2 linked regions of the Coturnix japonica genome follow. The protein of the gene in region 2 interacts with the protein of the main gene of each other region in a pairwise test. Links are inferred from orthologs where the notes say so. Each region holds a gene or a part of one and is shown on either strand. Other genes may lie near its edges.

The links. The genes of interacting proteins can lie anywhere in the genome.
Region 1: the proteins of AP1M1 (region 2) and TGOLN2 interact in a two-hybrid assay, tested with the Homo sapiens proteins (2 studies listed by BioGRID). The link is inferred for Coturnix japonica from reciprocal best matches to the Homo sapiens genes AP1M1 and TGOLN2.

Annotation. Positions count from the first base shown.
Region 1 is NC_029537.1:26,443-37,221, reverse strand, and holds TGOLN2 (trans-Golgi network integral membrane protein 2), read left to right. Parts: upstream 1-4,141; 5' UTR 4,142-4,200; coding exon 4,201-4,312; intron 4,313-4,621; coding exon 4,622-5,958; intron 5,959-6,699; coding exon 6,700-6,783; intron 6,784-6,920; coding exon 6,921-6,926; 3' UTR 6,927-8,821; downstream 8,822-10,779. Other genes in the region: TCF7L1 (transcription factor 7-like 1), read left to right, coding at 99-201, 434-517, 899-1,042, 1,340-1,499, 1,615-1,722, 1,965-2,025, 2,112-2,485. UniProt on the Homo sapiens protein: May be involved in regulating membrane traffic to and from trans-Golgi network.
Region 2 is NC_029543.1:3,465,185-3,473,422, forward strand, and holds the start of AP1M1 (AP-1 complex subunit mu-1), read right to left. Parts: upstream 6,524-8,238; 5' UTR 6,460-6,523; coding exon 6,418-6,459; intron 5,869-6,417; coding exon 5,712-5,868; intron 5,470-5,711; coding exon 5,402-5,469; intron 4,826-5,401; coding exon 4,695-4,825; intron 4,465-4,694; coding exon 4,317-4,464; intron 3,896-4,316; coding exon 3,769-3,895; intron 3,412-3,768; coding exon 3,269-3,411; intron 2,526-3,268; coding exon 2,454-2,525; intron 2,181-2,453; coding exon 2,022-2,180; intron 1,591-2,021; coding exon 1,465-1,590; intron 813-1,464; coding exon 737-812; intron 129-736; coding exon 106-128; 3' UTR 1-105. Other genes in the region: protein FAM32A, read right to left, coding at 7,272-7,340, 7,439-7,492, 7,571-7,709, 7,781-7,857. UniProt on the Homo sapiens protein: Subunit of clathrin-associated adaptor protein complex 1 that plays a role in protein sorting in the trans-Golgi network (TGN) and endosomes.

The sequences.
Region 1 (10,779 bases), on a different chromosome or scaffold from region 2:
TGAGCACTTATGTAGAGGTGAATGTTGATAGGGGGGTGGATGCTTGTAGGGAGGTGGATGCTCACAGTGAGGTGGGTTTAATGCTGCTCCCCCCACAGGGATCCCGCGCCCGCCGCACCCTCCCGAGCTGCCCCCCTACTACCCGCTGTCGCCAGGAGCTGTGGGTCAGATCCCTCACCCGCTGGGCTGGCTTGTGCCGCAGTAAGGATGGGCTCCTCCTGCCCCGGCCCCACTGCGTCCCTGGCCCATGCACCCCATGTGCTCCTTGGTTCCCAGCGAGCTGGGTGCGATGGGGTGGGGAAGGGAGGGACTGTGCTCTGGTGGAAATGTGGGATGTTGTCCCCATTGGGATCGGCTGGGGACCGAGCCAAGAGTCCCGGTGTTGTGGGGAGGGGGCTTGTCCCTGTGTCTGCTGCAGCTCGTGCATTTGCAGGCAAGGACAGCCCATGTACTCCATCCCCCCCGGCGGCTTTCGGCACCCCTACCCCGCCCTCGCCATGAACGCCTCCATGTCCAGGTGGGTCCCTGCACCCTGGTGGGTCCCCATGGCCAGGTGGGTCCCCATATCTTCGTAGGTCCCCATGTCCTCGTAAGTCCCTATGTCCTCGTGTCCCCATGGCCGCGTGGCTCTGAGCAGGGACAAGGGACCTCCTTGGGCACCCTGAGCTCCGTGTGGGTGACTGCACTGGCCCACGCTGGCCAGAAACAGCCCCATGGTGACTCTGTGTGTGAAGAGTGATGTCCCTTGGCTCTATGGTGCCAAGTTCAGCCACAAACAAGTCCCCAGCAGTTCGGGGAAGAGTCTCTAATCCCAAGAGATCCTCAGTAGGATTTGGGGGGACATTTGGGGTTGTTGATGCCTGTGGGAGGGCTGACAACCCCACTCCCTCCACTGCAGCCTGATGTCCAGCCGCTTCTCCCCACACATGGTCCCGCCGCCCACCCACGGTCTGCACCCCTCAGGCATCCCACACCCCACCATCGTCTCACCCATTGTGAAGCAGGAGCCTGCCCAGCCCAGCGCCAGCCCTGGCAGCAGCTCGTGAGTAGGGACATGGGGGGGTGGTGCCGGGGACAGGGACAGGATGGGGACAGAATGGCATGGGGATGGGAATGGGGATGGGATGGGGATTAGGATGGGATTGAGATTGGGATTGGGATTGGGATTGGGATTGGGATTGGGATTGGGATTGGGATTGGGATTGGCATTGGGATTGGGATGGAGATAGGATGGGGTGGGGAGGGACAGGAATGGGGATGGGGATGAGGATGAGGATGGCAGCAGGGACAGGAATAGGAAGGGGGATATGGAGCTGAGCCTGCATGTTGCCCCCTGCAGGAAATCCCCCATCACAGTAAAGAAGGAGGAGGAGAAGAAGCCCCACATCAAGAAGCCTCTGAATGCTTTCATGTTGTACATGAAAGAGATGAGGGCGAAGGTCGTTGCTGAATGCACGCTGAAGGAGAGCGCGGCCATCAACCAGATCCTGGGCCGACGGGTACGTGTCTCCCTCGTGCCTTCATCTGCCTGCACACCAACATGGCTGTGCTGGGGACCTGCAGGCACTGCCTGCCGTGTGTCCCTGGGGTCCGCAGTGTCCTTTCCCCTTGCAGTGGCACTCGCTGTCGCGGGAGGAGCAGGCCAAGTACTACGAGCTGGCACGCAAGGAACGGCAGTTGCACTCACAGCTCTACCCCACGTGGTCTGCCCGCGACAACTACGTGAGTGTGACCCACATTCCCCAGTTCAGTGGGGTTGGGAGGCCTGAGGGTGGTGGGGCTGAGCTGGGGGGACACCACGGTGCCGGCCCACATCACCCCCTGGGTCACCATGACCCCAGTGTGACCATGAGCCCCTGTATCACCATGTGCTGCTCTGTGGCGTTGTATCACCCCCCCTCAGCCTTTGTCCATCCCGTGGAGCATCCCACCATCACACCTCAGTGCTTTGCAATATTTCACAGGGCAAGAAAAAGAAGAGGAAGCGAGAGAAGCTGGCCCAGCAGCAGAGCCACGAGGCAGAGAGTGAGTACCCGGGGGGGAAGGGGCGGCCGTGGCCATCACGTTCCCCCCTCTGCCCCCACACTCAGCGCCTGCCCCACACCCCGCAGGTGCTCTGCCCTCCAGGAGCAAGAAGCCGTGCGCCCCACACCACCTGCCCCCCGATAAACCCTGCGACAGCCCGGCCTCGTCCCACGGCAGCATGTTGGATTCACCTGCCACGCCGTCAGCCGCCCTGGCCTCCCCGGCTGCGCCCGCAGCCACACACTCGGAGCAGGCGCAGCCGCTGTCGCTCACCACCAAGCCGGAGGCCAGGGCTCAGCTCGCCTTCCTCTCCGGCAAATCCTCCTCCTCCTCCTCCTCCCTGGGCTCCCCCCCGTCGCTGCTCCCCCGGCCCATCGCCTTCCCCTCGCTGCTGCTCCCCTCCCCTCCTGCCCCGCAGCAGACGCAGCCGCTCGCGCTGGTCACCAAACCGGCCGACTGAGGGTGGGCTGAGCAGGAGCCCCCCACCGCCCTGCACCGCAGCCGCCACAATCACGACTCCCAACGCAGCCAAACCTTTATTGGTCAATATTTGACCTTTTCTGAACTGTTTTTTTTTGTGTTTTATTCTTTTTGTCTTTTGGGAAGCAGACTCTGGAGGAAGAGGCTCTTTCCCTTTACCAGCAGTCGACCTAAAGACTGTTTTTATTAAAAAAGAAAAAAAAAAAAGGGGGGGGGGAGGGGGAGGGAAATGTTTTTTTGTGTTTTTTAATATTTTTTAAGAATAAAAGAGAGAAAGAAAAAAAAAAGAAAAAGGACCTTTCCTCAGGCTGGGCATCCAGTGCTGATGCCCCCAGTGCCCCCAGTGCCCCCAGTGCCATCCCACTACAGCTGGACCCCGTCCCCAGCTCGGTGCTGGGCTGGGGGGACATGGGGTGGGGCTGGGGGGGGGGTTTCTCATTGAATCCCTGTTATTTTTCACAAAAAGAAAACAAAACAAAAAAAAAAGAAGAAAATAAAACTACAGCTGCAACTTTGCTGCGTGAGCGTGGTCCGTGCAGGAAGGCCGGCACTGCTGAGCGCTGCCGATGTCAGCCTGGAGCCCTGCTCTGTGCTGCAGCTCCAAGAGCCGAAACCTTTTTTTTGGGTCAGAAAAGCCAAAAACCGCTGTCCTGCAAAGGGCCGCAGCCACTCAGCCGACACCAGGAGCAGGATGCGGCCGAGCAGCGCCTTGAATGGGATTTCATGGGAAATTAAAGGCATGAAGAGACCTGTCACAAGAATTAAAGTCTGGACCGGAGCCAGACGGCTTCAAACAGATGTTGGACTTCAGCGGGAGAATCTTTCTTTGTTTGGCTCGGCGTGTTCCCATACGGAGCACGAACATCTGTCGGGTGCGCTGGGTCCGGATGGTCCCTTCGGGAGGACGGAGGCACGAGGAGCTGCTGCTCGTGGGGCGGCTCATATGAAGGCGCCGCGTCCTGCCCGGCCGCTCCGAGTCCCGCTCAGCCCGGCCTGTGTCCGTGTGTCCGTGTGTCCGTGTGTCCCCGGCCACCAGGGAGCGGCCTCGTGCCGTCCGTGTCCCTGCGGTGACACGTCGCTGCTCCGCCGGCCCCGTTTTCCTTTGGGTCACTCCATCCCATCCCTAATGGCCGCCGTCCAACAGACCCCCCGGGGCTGCGCTGCCCGCTCACTAATTGAGACGCCTAATGAGCTCCCTGCGGAGATGGAGCTAATTAGGAGCTGCCCGGGGCCGGGGGGGGGGTCCCGCCAGATGTCGCGTTGCACCGGGGTGAGGCCGCGCCTCGTACCCGTTAATTGCCGTTAATTTCCCATTTGCTGATGGATTCGATCTCATCCCGCCCCGCTCAGCGGATCGTGGGCTGCAGTCAGTGCCCAGGGATGGGATGGGGAAACGTCCCACGAGGAGAAGGGCAGCGCCAAGGCCCAGAGCGCCCGGTCCGACCCCAAATCCCCCTTTTTGACCCCAAATCCCCCTTTCTGACCCCAAAATCCCCCTTTTTGACCCCAAATCGCCCCCACTCGGCTCTACCGGCGCGCCCCTCCCTCGCCGAGCCCCGCCCCCTGCTTTGCATGGCCACGCCCACTCACACAAGCCCCGGCCCCTGCCGGCCGTCAGCCGCGTGCCGGAAGTGACGTTTTGAGCGGAAGCGGAAGCGGAAGCAGGCTGTATCCGGGTGAGAGCAGCGGGCCGGCATGGCGCTGCGGGTGGTTCCGCTGCTGCTGCTGCTGCTCCTCGGCATCGCCGCCAGGACCGGGGACGGGACCAGTAACGGGGACGGGACCAGTAACGGGGCCGGAGCCGGAGGTAGCGCGGGGTGCGGGGGGAGCTGGTGGGAGCCGGGAGCGGACACGTGTCCCACGGCCCCGGGTTTTACGGGCTCTGTGTCCGCGGGAGCTGCCGGGATCCCGTGAGCGCGGCCGGGCCGAGGGTGGATGATGTGAGTGATCCCGGCGGGGCGAGGAACCGCCGCGTCAATGACCGCGGGGAGTCGGGGCTCGGCGGAACCTTAACGGGGCGGCGGGACGCTCGGGGCGGGAGGCAGCGCGGTAACGGGAGCCGGTAACGGAACTGCGGGTCCGGGTGGTAACTGCGGGCTCGGTGTGTTTGTGGCAGGCGGGGAGCAGGGAGCGGAGCTCACGCAGCCATCCAGCACTTCAACAGGCGGCGGAGGATCCAACGGGGCACAGGATGGAGACGGCGGAGGGACAAATAACGGGGGAGGAGCTGGTGGTGCCGGTCAAAACACAAACGGGATTGAGACGCAGCCCGGAGGGACAGGGAAACAAGGCGATAAAGACAAGGAAGAGAGCAATGGGGGCAAAGACACCAGCCAGAGCAATGGTAATGATGGCACTGGGAGCCAAAGCACCAGCCAGAGCAACAGCAACAGTGGCAGTGGGGGCCAAGGCACCAGCCAGAACAATGGCAATGATGGCAATGGAGGCCAAGGCACCAACCCGAACAACGGCAACGGTGGCAGTGGGGGCCAAGGCACCAGCCAGAGCAGTGGCAGCGGTGGCACACAGTCTGGCAACACTGCTGGCCAACCCAGCACCCAAAACACTGACAGCCAAAGCAATACCCAGCATGGTGATGATCAGGAGCAGAGCAGCCACAATAGTGGCAATCAGGGCACCAAGACCGACAGCCAAAGTAACCACCAGCAGGGCAGTCAGACCACACAAAATGGCAACACCAATGGCCAGAGTGGCCAGAAAAATGGCAGTGCTGGTAACCAAAACAGCCAGAAAGAGAACACTGACAAGGGCAATGGCCAGACCAACCAGCATGATGACAACACCAGCAGCAGCCAGAACAATGTGCAACATGGCAACACCAACAGCCAGACCAACAAGCAGCCTGGTAACACCAACAGTCAGACCAACCAGCAGCCTGATAACACCAACAGTCAGACCAACCAGCAAGGCAGCGGCACCCAGCAACATGGCAACACCAACAGCCAGACTAATGAGCAACATGATAACACCAACAGCCAGACCAACAAGCAGCCTGATAACACCAACAGCCAGACCAACCAGCAACCCAGCAACACGCAGCATGATGGCAACACCAACAGCCAGACCGACCAACAGAGCGACGATGCCAACGGTCAGAATGACCAGCAAGGCAGCGACAACCAGCAACAAGACAGCACCGACATGCAGGACAGCAATCAGGGCGACCAGGAAGACTCAGTGGAAAATAATGGGCAGCCCTCACAGTCAGTTTCATCTGTTCATGACACAGAAGGCTCCCCAGATGGTGACGAACTCCCTGAGGAAGAGAACGGGTTTAGGAATGGTAATGGTGCTGCCTCATTTAATGAGAGAGAGAAGAGTATTCCTGTTTCTCCAGGGAAGAAGTCAGAGAACAGCCACTTCTTTGCCTATCTGGTGACCACGGGGATTATTGTTGCTGTTCTGTATGTTGCCTATCACAACAAGCGGAAGGTGAGTGGTTCTGCTCCTTGCCCAAGTTCCCCCCTGTGGTTTAAAAGCTTCCTTCGCAGTCGTTGGTCGGTGCTGCAGGTGGGGACATGCTCGGCTGAACATCTTTCCCCTTTGCTGCTCTCATTTTTGCCTTTTGCTTCCTGCTGAAGCCTCCTGCTTGCTGGGTGGGTTTGTTTAGTGTTTAATTTGAGGCCTTGATCTCAACAGCTTTGAGATGAGCAGGGAGGAGTGTTGTAACCAGGAAAGCATTTGGATCTCCATGGAAATGGGATGGCCTCAGCTCCAGCGGTTATTTTCAGCAGTGAGAAATGGAACTGAGCGAGGAGAAAAGGAAAAGATCTGTGCAGTTGCTCTGTGTTTCTTATGGACAATGAGTTTTCTGTACCAGGTTGTGAAAGACTCGCCTTTAAATAGCACTGCACAGGGGAATACAGCCCAAGTGATAAAGCCCATCTTTTCTGCTGTTTTTGTCCCTCCTGCAAACCTGTTTTTGTGGTAGGAGAGGGATCAACTTCTTAACTGTTTTCTGTGGAAAACTGTTTTGCCATGTTTGGGAAAGCCTCATCATTTCCTGTTTTCAATCTGAGCTGCTTTTAAATGATGTTTATTTCAAGTACTTTTAGAAGGATGCGAGTGATGCTTCTCATTGGCCCACTAGAAAGTGCCTCTGTTAGAAGTCAGAAAAACTGCATGTGGTCGTTCCTGTCCTGCTCACCTTGTCCTGCCTCTCTCTCTCCAAAGATCATCGCTTTTGCCCTGGAAGGGAAACGTTCGAAAGGCGGTCGGCGGCCCAAATCCGGCGATTATCAGCGGCTGGATCAAAAGGTAAGGAGGGGGTTGGAGAAGTCCGTCGTGTTTTCCCCTTGAAACTTTGGATTCACGTGCATCTGTAGTTATTTTCTGTGATAGGAAGCCATTGTGAGCTTTCACATTGTTTTAGCTTTTCTTTTTTCCCTTTCCAGATCTAGATTCCTCTTCAGGTGTTCAGTGGAAGAATGCTGCTTGGCGACAACGGGACCAGAATGGTGGGACACCATCAACTGCCCTCTGTAGCACTGAATCATAGCTTTGCTGTCGTCTTCGGATCTCAGAGAACAGGAAGAAGGGGAAATGCTTTTACTTTTGCACCTGCACCTTGGTAATGTTCGACTTCTCACTTCCTTAAAATGTGTTTCTCCTTTCCCAGCGGCCTGAAAATGAATCGGTTTCTGCGTGGGCGTCTGGTTTCTAGACCGTGGCCCAAGAGAAGCCAGCTCTGGCACTTGACAGAACTTTCATGTCTAAACGAAATGGGATTTGCCAGCTACTGTACCGACATCTCTTGAGAAAAATCCACCTGCGAAATGAGCCATCTGATTCTCTCCTTTCAGAGTCATAGAGCTGCCTTTGTAACCAGCACTGTCCTGCTGGAGGCACCAACAATCTCTTTCTCTGTCCATTGCATTTGGATGCTGAAGTTTGGAGCGTGATTGCACTAGCTTGGAAATGATCTGCCAAGGACTCTGCTTTGATTTCTTTTCTTCCTCTGCGATGAAGGTGATGTTTGCTTCACATAACAATTCTCACCTTAATGCACTCCTCTGGGAGTGTTGGAGCTGCCCTCTGGCTGTAGTTTAGACTTCCTTACCTGCCCTATGGCAGTTGTGCTCCACGTGGCTCTGTTCCCTTGTGGTCCTCACAGCTGAGATGCTTGCACTAATGAGGACAATTAGTTTGATGCTGCGAAAGCAAGCCATTCAGGCTTACGAAGTTCTGTGCCATACAGCTGCAGTGATGGAGCAAACTTAACCTCAAAAAGGTAACTCTTCCCTGTTGTTAAAACATTGTCATGATGATGCAGAGTGGGTGATAGTGTTTGGGATGAATGAAATTTGCAGTCATTCAAACCTCTTCTCAAGTACTGAGGCTCTTCAACAGGAAAGGTGCAGCGCTTGCACTAAGGTGTTTCCCAGGCAGCTGCCCTGTGAGAGGGAGGGTTTGTCCCACAGCTCCCAAACCTCTCTGCTCTTCTGCTGCTCTGTCCTCAGCCTGCTAATGGGGTTTAACGTGATTGAATGTACACCTCACCAGCAGCTTGTTGCTGTTTTCTCAGCGTCACTGTGGGGCACTTAAATGAGGGCCTGGGATGTACTAGCACTGGTTGTATTGAAGACTGCAAAGTGTATTGATTCCTGAGCTGTAGCTGTTACGCTGGTCTTGTTTTTGTAGTTCTGCTCCAAAGATACTTACTCAAGATAGGGCACTTTTGAAGGATGTGTGTAAAGTGCCCAGCTTCTTAGTTAGTTTTTTATCCTATTTGGGCAGAAAATGACGGCTGTGACACATGGAGGGCTATTCACATGGGTACACGTGTACCCAGAGCCGCACAGAGGAGTCCTGTCCCTGCTTTGAGGCTGGAGGGGCTGCCTATCCCCAGCCCTGCATGAAGGGTGACCCTCCCCATGGCTGCAGGGTGATGAGGGCAGGGAAGATCCCTTGTCTGGCCATGAAGGCTACAGTTGTGTCCTGGTTTTCCAGCACAAAGGGAGAGCGGGAGAAATCTCCTCTTGCCTCAAACCTGTGGGATCGACTCCTGGTGTTTCTTTTCTCTTTTTATGCAATGTGTTTCAAACTGGTCAAGGAGTGTGAAGCCTTTTCCTTTTGCCCATGGCACATTTCTGAATGGACGGTACCTGTTGGGTACATGATTTCTCTCCAGGTGGGGCTGCTCCTGGGCCTGCTGCCTTGCTGGCACAAAGCAGCGCACAGTTTGTTTCCTGCTGCAGTGCAACGCAACTTGCTTTGAAGGACCAGAATTTTTATATTTCTTTGTATTTTTTTTTTCTGCTGTGTGGTAAAGTCAATAAATGACTTAAAAAATACAGTTTTAAGCCCTTTAGCTTTAACACCCCCCCCCCCCCCCCAATCTCTTTGATCATTGCTTGTGCTCTAGGCTTTGTGCAGAGCCTCTATTAATGGATGCCAGCTCAGCCCTCACATGACTAAGCACCCTGCAGGCGGAATGAAACGAGATGGCCTTTTGCTTGGAGACTGTTTATAGAGTTCCCCGTGTGCTTTGCCTTTCACCCAACTGGCCTTTGGTCAGTAGCAGACTGAGCCAGCTGGCGAGGATCTGCATTCCCCCCTTCACCCACAGGGAGGCTCCTCGAGCAGCATTCAGTGCTCGGTGGCATTAGGATGAACTGGGAGAGAAGGAATGCAGGGCAGGGTGCTGCCAGCAGAGCAGGGTTTCTGGGTGCAAGAAACTTTCCCCCAGTTTCTCTCTGGAGGACAAACTGGGGGCAGGGGAGGGTTATTTGTGGTTTTTTCTTTACTTCTTCCCCCTTGGCCGGGTCACTGAGAGCCTGGGGGAGGCAGTGGTGAAAGCAGGAGATGGAAAATGGAGACAGTTCGGTTGTGTGTTGGACTGGAGTGCTCTCTGGAGCCTTCCTACTAGGGGTGAAAGCATTGCTGTGTGCATCTTCAGGGTCACTTCCCAGAGAAGCAAGTATTGGACTCCTCCAACAACTCTAAGCCCCATGCCCAGCCTCACCCCGACCTGGATGTGCTGTAGGGGTCTCCAAACTGTTTTCTTCCTACGGGCAGTGTGAGTGCATAGGGAGGGAGCAGCTCAGGAGGTCCCCCAGCAAGAGGCAGTGATACGAGCACCCAGAGCACAGGGCTGTGTCGGGGCAGTGGTCCTGCTAATTGACCTCAAATAATTATCTACAGGGCTGGGCAGGGCCTATCAGAGCATGGCTGAGAAATACCAACAGGAGCAGAGTTTGTCTGAGAGGCCCTCAGGGTGGAGGCAACAGATTTAAAGGCTGAGTGCAGAGTGAGCCATGCATGCACAGTGGGGAGGCTTTGTTGTGCTCATTGTGGTGCCAGAGATAAAACTTCCTCCATGTCCTGGCTGCTCCTGTTCCTGTTCATGGGAAAACCACTCCTTCATGGGCTCCCAGCAGGTCTTTAATGCGGACTGAAGTCCACAGAGCAGAACCAGCACTGCAGTGCTCACTGCCTGGCACTGGGGCACCCACTGATGGCACATAAACAGCACTTCCAGCCTCAGAGCGGCCTGTGCCAATGCAGGACAGTCACAAGGACGGCTCTAAACTGCATCTCCTCTCCTTCCCAAACTCTGCCTTCTGCCACGCTGCTGTCCCCCAACCACGGGACCTGGGCTCAGCCCCAGTGCCAGCAGCACCCTGCTGCTCCCCAACCACAAGGAACACTGTCCCCATCATAAGGCAGTTTTATTTCCTGCCTTCTTGCCCTTCCCAGCACCAAAGCAGTGGTGAAGGCTTTGGTTGTGCTCCCGAACACAACCAGCAGACAAACAGCCACATCATCAGCTCAGGGCAGAACCAACAGCTCTGCAGCATGTCAGGGCTGCATTCACTGTGAGATCCCATCTGGAAGCGCCGCTGTTGCTCCTGAGCAGCTTTACACTGCCTTAAGTCAATCCACCCTGAGCGCAATCCATCCCTGAAGCCGGGCTCCTCGACGCGGGCACAGAGCCCAGGGCCTCTCCTTCCTCACACAGCACTGGGGTGATAAGCATTGTGCATCCAGCATTGTGCAGGGCTGATGGTAAATGGAACTGATGGAAAACCGGTCCAGTGCCACCTGGGTGGCTGTGTGCGGAGGGAGGGGTTCATTCCTCAGCTTCCACCACCCTGCAGATACCAGCTCCATGTGAAGCTTTTTCAGCCCCATTCAGCACAAAGCTATTGCATGCAAGGTTAAAAGCAGCAGTGTAAGGCTTGCTGCCCTTAGCCAGGCAGGTGCCCATGGAGCTGAATGCTCCTCCAGAGGCCCAATGGGCTCTGACAATGG
Region 2 (8,238 bases):
GACAAGACCCTTGGCAACAACATTCACAGCTCTCAGTACCACAGAAGCTTCTGCAAACAAATCCTAGGCCTGAAGTGTTGTCATCTGTGGTGCCTGCAAGGTGTCTTACTGTGTTCGAAGCTGGTAGTCTGTAAAGGAATAACAAAAATAAAACCAGTTTTAGTACACTGCCTTTCACTAATCTCAGTAACACACAAGAGCAAACTGGGATGAAATGATCAGAAATGATCAGATCTTGATGTAGAATAACCAAGAACATGGGCTTTAAAGCAATTAAGATAATTACAAGCTTCCAAGCCAGGAACAGCAAAAGCAGTCTGAATAGCAAAACAAGTAATAATGAAAAGCAGCAGAATTGGTTTGTTTTTTCTTTTCCTTTAGCAGACTTGGTGGTTCTTAGCAGACAGTATCTCAGCCAGCCCAAAGCCAGCAAAATGATATGTACGAATCAGTTCTCTTTTAATTCATATTTCTCCCCAGATTTAAGTATTTCATAATGAAAGTCACATTCAGTGAACAACAGTGCTGTCTAAATGAGCATTTCAATAAGATAGTTGAGTAAGAAAAAAAAAGACTAGAAAAATCAGCAAGCATTAATGTCATGTACATATACTGCAGTGTTTAATACTGAAACACAAGAACAGTTTGCTCATATCTTCAATTTGTTGGTGTATGCTGGAGAATTAAAATACATTAAGACAGAGATTATGTTTATAGTTCATTGCTTTCAATTTACCTCCATTCTGGGTAATGTAACGAACCCATGGGAGAGCCTGATAGCCACTCTTCTCAATTATCTTTAAGTATCGAACCTGGGAAGAAAGAAAAGTTAAATATGAATCTCCCGTGTCAGCCAAGCATTGTTTAGCAAAAAATAAAATGAAATCAGGGATGATTGGGTGGGCAGCGATGATCTATGGATATAGATCATCGCTGATGATAGATATATGGATATATATGGTATTGATAGATAGATATAGATAGATATATGGATATATATGGTATATTCTATGGATAATAATAACAGAAATTATCCAGATGTGCAAAACTTTAGATGTAAACATAAACTGTCGTCACTTGCATTAACAGTGTGCTTTCCATATGAAATAATGCAGCCAGTCCTATCATTCTCTTTACAAGATTCCCTTAAAGCCGGGAAAAATAAAAAATAAAATAAAACAAACAAACAAACAAAAAAATCAGACTTGCCTCAGTAATAAAGAAACACTTTTGGTACTTCAAAGTGAAGGGCAGGAAGATGTTTGTGAATGAGACAGTGACAGCCAGGAAAAGCAGGACAAAAACAACAGCAAAATGACACCAAACCATGGAACAATTACACAGCAAAAATTACACCAAACCAAGGAACAAGGCAGACAAAGCTACAAAGCTGGGCTGCATCAGCTTGTGTGTCAGGAGCCTAGCACACAGCCTCCTTCTGTATTTCTGTTTTCAACTACCAACCTGGATTCCTGAAGTGGTGAAATATGGAATCTCAAATTTGACACTAATGGGAGGTTTCCCTTCCTTGTCTTCAGCTTCAACACTTGGAAGTCCAAAGTGAGCCCTCATCAGATATTCTTTTCCACCCTTACAAAAAAAGAACAATTTTTTTTTTTCTTGAAACAAGAAAAGCTTCCAACAATACAAGTGATTTTCTATGCAGAATATCAAATTGATGAACTGCATTTATTACTTCAGATTCTTTTCTAGGGCTAAGAAGGAAGTACTTGTTTTTATTTAAAAATAGTGGTGTTTGGTTTTTGTTTGTTTTGTTGCTTTTAAATATAGATCAACTTAAGACCAGTTTGAGGCATAATTCATCTTCCTCTGGTCTTATCCTCAACGAGAACATTAGAAGTTTGGCTTTCTTTCTGACCATTTTCATCACATAGCACGGTAGCTGTACTATCACTATGGAGCATTTGATGCTTTTAGAATTTGCCTTAGGCTGAGTCATAAACCATTAACTTTAAGTAATTATTGTACTATTGGGTGAGAAGACTAAAAATAGCACTTACTGGAAAAGACTTGATGGACCAGACAATTTCACTGTTCTCTGGAACCCATTTGACACTTCCAACAGTGGTTTTAAACTTTGGCGAATCCGCATCATTTGGAACTGGAATGTGAATCTCCACATTGTTGGCAGTCGATCTACGTTTAAACTGACTTTTTGCCTAAAGAAAAGTGAGAAAAAAAAATTAAAAAAATCACATCTCTAAGCACATACACTACACATGTAAATTCAGAGAGCTGTGAGATAATTTCCCTCTACCACAATCTACTGAGAAACAGCACAATACAGAACATTAACACAAATGAACTTCACTAAAAAGACACAAATCCCAGGGAAATAGTAGGTGTTTGTGTAAGCAGGAATGCACTCTGCTGGTCAAGCACTGAGAACAAACAAAAGACAAACCAGCCATAATAATTTTAGTACTTCTGACCTTGATCATGTACTCGATGCGGCTGTGGGAATGTTTTTCAATCACAGACTCAATCCAGATCAGTGGCTTTACCTGATGGGAAAGATATTTTACAACTGTAGATTTTACTTTGGCATGTGCACAAAATTGTAATTTCCTCACAAATCTACACTGAATACATTAATTCTGTAAGTAAGCACTGACATACAAGCAAAATGTGGCTAAAAAATGGCAGGCATCGAGGGGGGGAAAAAAAAGAAAGAAGTATTTCTCAGATTAGTTCCTAACATCTTCAGTTGTCAAACACATCTCCACGTATGTGCAGGTCTTTTTGTTTTGTTTTCTGTAACTGTTTTGCTGGTCTCCTGTCACAGCTGACAATTAAATATTTCCTCTTTGCTAAATATTTTCTTTTCAAAAAGAATGTTAACTTATACAGCAGCTGCTACCTTGAGGAGCCAGGAATATGGTATGTTAACATACTCCAAGAAATATTCAGCTAACAAATTAACACTGTCAAGCACAATAAATTGCCACAATAATTTTATAGCATTGTTAGCTTAAAAATGAACTAATTCATGCTTTGAAAATAGTTTCAATAGAAGTTGAAAAGATAAGAGACTTACTGCCAAGTTATTCCTAACCTCATTCTTACTTCCTCCAAAAACAGCAAGCACAAAGCGTTACTACTAATGGTTGACTTCACAACTACTATGCTGCCCATACTTAAAGAAAAAACAAAACACATCACGGGAAAGTCATCAGCAATTCTACCTACAGGCTAGATTATTCTCATAAAAAACTGCTATGGTTCAGACCCAAACATCCAGACTTACGTGGGTATTGAGGCGATAGGACATGAGTTCAAACTCTCCATCAGGTGGGATGAAAGAAATCGTCCTGTCATTTTCAAAGCGAGAGAGACGAACACACTGATGGAACTTCACGTCTTCCAGTTCTACTGATTTACTTTTGCCACCTATCAGAAAACACACATGCCAAGATTTCAAATCACTGCTCCCATTGCATCTGAAGTCACATCAGAGCATTATATAGCAAAGCAGATGCCTGCTGATATCCTTCACACCTGGGTTTAGCCCAGTATTTTTTCTAAGACTCCAAAAGTCCCAGCAGAAGAGGCAATGAAGCCCAGATGGTTACCATGTTCACTGTGGTATCCCATCTTCTCTTGGTATTGCCACACAAGACCTAACCTGGTTTTCTACATTGATTAAACAAGTGTTTTCATCACAAAATCTATGTTTTCACTTGAACCTCACCAAATCTTGCAGAGAACACCCATCACAATTTCAAAAGATATTGCTGAAATACTCACGGCCTGTGTTATCAAAGAGAACTTTGTCATTTAAACCAAGGCGGAGCTCTGGCATTCCTGAGAGAAAGACTCTCATTTTAATGGATCCAACTATTTCACTCCGTAATACATTTCCATTGGCACTAACCTGAAGGGTAATGAAAAGAAAGATAAAGGTTGCCCTAACACAATATGATATGAGATCAAACAGCAATCCCACCCCATCCTCAAGCCCCGGGTCTCCGTGGATGCTTTTCTTCCGAGCAACCAATCCAACACAGTACAATCAGACTAAGGACAAAGTGGGAATAGACTGAAAGAGAAAGGAAGGACACATTGGAAACCAACTCTGGGACTACTGGGCACAGAGCACAAGTTCCAGTAAATGATTATTTATCTCTGGCTGTCATTACAGATTGTCAGTTTCAATGACAGACAGCATCCCAGCACACTAATCATGGTTAGGCTGATTTTTTAATATATAATATATAATATGTTTTCAGACAGTAAGTTCTTCTCAAGACTTCTACTAATAATTCTCATTAAAAGTTCAAGTAAAAGGTACCCACCAAAAGGTTAACAGACTCTATAACATCCAGGAACACTTCATTCTTCCTATATTTTATCCCTTCTGATCTCCATGAAACAGCATTTGTAACAGTGGCAGGTGGACGTGGAGCTCCAGTTTCAAGTTTGTGACCTTCCTGAGTGATGTACCTTTATAAGCACAGAATTAGAACAAAAAATACAAATTATACTCTGAAAAATCTGAAGTGTCTTTTATATCAGATACACATCATCAATAAATAAGTTGGATATTATAATACTTTATCAAGTATTAAATATTTTGATAACTAGAGGAGGAACCCAAAACATTTGTTTGCATGCAAAATACAAAGACTTTCCCAAGGACTTTACAAATATGAGCAATAAAGACTGATACTTACTCTTGTAAAATTTTACTATCAGTGGTTTGTGGGTAACCAAAATCCATAAGCTCATCTAACAACTCATAAATAATAACAAAATTATCTCTAATGCTCTCTTCTTCCAACTCCTTGAAATATTCAGAAAAAACCTGAAACAACAAAAAAAAGAACGAGAGGGAAGGAAAAAAAGAAGGACATGAGCTGAGGAACTACAGCATATTCTGAATGTATTCCTATAACTAACAAGAGTTTGGAAGAAAAAAAGGAAAAAATAAATAAATCACCAAAACAAAACTCATAATTCCTAAAAACATTCTGTCCAGATTAGCAGCAGGAAACTCACCTCAATTAAAAGGGGGTTAAAGAGACCAAGAAATAAGTCTGATCATTACAAAAAATATTTATGCTGGGAAAAACAGTTGTGATGCCAGTTCCAAATTAACCCAACACAGCACCTATATATGGCACTATTCATACATCAGTGTTTTCCTCTGTGTTCTCGGGTCATGTGCAACTACTCACAGCATTGTGTCACATCCTTTGCCTACTCAGTTATAAGATATCAATTCCATTCTTAGTGGTTAGGAAGACATTTCTATCAAATAATCAAATATAAAGGAAAAATAGTATAGATTCTATTTAAAAAAAAAAGTGAAAGCTCTATGCATTTTTATTAGATCACACTGAAAAATAGATGGGAAATAAATCCAAAACTTCCTACTCACCTGAACTACTTTATATAAAAATGAAAACACCAGTGATACACAAGCATTCTTCTTAGAAGTTGCAACAACTAATAAAGGATGTTCAGGAACACGCATTCAAAGTCATGGTGTGATGAAAAGCATTTTACTGAGTGTGCTTTTAAAAGCATTGTAAAAGGGGCAGCCTGATCTGGTGCCTGATTTAGTTTGTGGCAGCCATGGCTGAGGCAGCAGGGTTGGAACTGAAAGATCTTTGAGGTACCTTCAACCCAAGTCATTCTATGATTCATTCAATGATTCACACGTAGGTTGCCTGCAGCACAAAGGATACGATAGAGGTTGTTATGTTTAATCCACATGAAACGAACTCCTCCATGTGCTAGAATAGGAGAAAGCGTTCCCTCTTCTTCCTTTTCCATAAGGATTGGCATAAAATGCTCCACTTCTGACATGTCCACATCCCCACGGTAATTTCGACAGATGAGAACCTACGGAAAGAACAATTCCTTACACTTTTCCTTTGAGAGATGACGTTACCATGCCAGACCAGCACAGGGGATAGTTAAAATACCTCTTAACTGAAAAACCCACATATCAAGCTTTAATCAATGGTCTATACATACTACAAACGCAAACCAAAGTGCCATTATATGTTGCAATTTGAACGCAAATCCCCAAGCTACGCAGTCGTATCTCCTAGTGTTATTCCTCACACAGCTACGCACACCCTAATAATAATAACTTTTGAGATGGAAAAACACACCGCTCTCCTGGGACAAGCCTCCTCCCATTAGGGCTGATATTACTGACCGCAGTTGTGATGCTCGGGGCTGTGCAGGCAGGGCCGCTCCCCGACTCGGACAAGGCGGGACCGCCCCACAGCTCGGGGCAAACAGCGAGCGGGAAGGGGAAGCGGCGGCCGCAGGGCAGCGAGGCCGAGAGAGCCCCACGGTGCCGGGCCCCGCCGAGCCCAGGACGGGCCCGACGCTCTCGGCAGCTCGGGGTGAAGGGCGCCCACAGCCGCAGCGCGGCCTCACCTTTCCCTTCAGGTCCAGCACGTACACGGCGCTGGCCGACATCGCGCCGCCCGGGGCCGCCGCGCCCGCCGCGCCCGATCACAGTCACAGCGACTTCCGCTTCCGCCCGCCACTTCCGGTAGGAAGCGGCTGCACAAGGTCCGGCCGCGCGGAGGGATACGCGCAGTGATCCGCCGGCAGCGGAACAGCACTTAAGGCACCGATTGCTGACGTTAAGTAGTGCGCGGCCGGCTGAAGTCCGCAGTTAGGAAGGCTGAGGAGCCCCGGGACGGGTCAGCGGTACCAGAGGGAAAACGCTTGGGTTGAATTAGTGTGTGAGGGTCTGGGATGTGATTCACATCACCTGTGAGAGCTGTAAATGCAGCCATACAGACTGCATGCAGCACACCACCCTCACTGCAGGGAAAGGAGCACCGAAATAATGGATAAAAGGAGCTTTTTAATAAGTTACAGTAAAGACATAAGGATTGTAGAATACAGCAGACACCACTGCCCCAACTCAGAGATTTTATATAGGAATTACACAGTTCTGCCACTGATAAGAGCAGCTCATACAATGTAATGCTGCCACAGACTGCTTCTTCTAAGAGCTGCTGGCATAGGACAAATAAAGGAACATTCTCCTGTTGTCTCACAGCAATTGGGTTCAGCTTTGAGCACTGAAAAACACCCCATAAGTCAACAGCCAAAGAAGAGGTTTTGTTGAGTATTTTGAAACTGAAATACGGCAGTACAAGGTGATAAATGTTCCGAAGACATATGAAATATTCAGTATCATGAATACGGAGGTTTACACGGCAGCCCTGTTTGGTGTGAGCACAACTCCTGACCCGAGGCCCCGAAACGCCGCCCGTTCACTTGGTCCAGCTGACTTTGGGGATGTCGTAGTGCTCCGTCAGAGTGTCCAGGTGCCTGTTGAAATCCTGAGGGGCAGCAAAGGAACAGAGCGCTCAGAATTGGAGCATTCACCATCGCGCAGCCCTCCCCACAGCGCTGCCCAGCTGATGGTACTTCCACTCACCTCAACTCTCTGTTTGTGTGTTTTCGAGGCCTTCTTCAGGATCCTCTCCATTTGCTGGAAGAAGACACAAGATCACAGTTATTGCCGTGGGGTTCCGACCCGCCCCACGTCCCGGGGGCAGTGCGGCCCTACCCGCTTCTCCTGCATCTTCTCGTAGGCCACTTGCGCCGGGGTCCGCTTATCCAGGCCGCGCTTCTTCTCCTCTTCCTGCTTCTTGCTGCTCACGATCTGCTCCAGGATCTTGGCCTTGTCCTTCGCTTTCTTCTTCTTCCTGCGGACAGACGCCGCTCAGCTCCCAGCCCCCGGCCCGGCTCCCGGTTCCCCCCTCTCCCTGCCGCTCACCGTTTGCCGGCCCCCAGCCCCGCTCCGCCGCCCTTCAGCCGCAGCGGCCCGCGCTGCACCGCCTCGTAGTCCGCCATCGCTCGGCCGCCCAGCGCCACAGCGACCCCTGGCGGCAGCGCCGTTCCCGCCACAGGGCGCTGAGGTAAAAGCCGTTACAACCCGAGCGGCCCCGAAGTGCCCGGCCACAACCCGAACCTCGAGCCCAACCCACGGTGTTCCACTCCGAACCGACCGAATCTGAATCGCTGCCGCTTGTTTTAAGGCACCTTAAGGGTGAGTGAAGCTGTGCGGCTCCTGTGGTGCTGCTGTTAGTTCCACACCCTACCCTTGTGTTTCACGTTTAACTCACGGTTCTGTTTTCATGTATAAACAATGCAATCTCTTGTATTTTCAGTGTAAAAGCCACATATGGACCTGTATATATGCATGCTTGTCACACTAATGGACATTAACTAGAG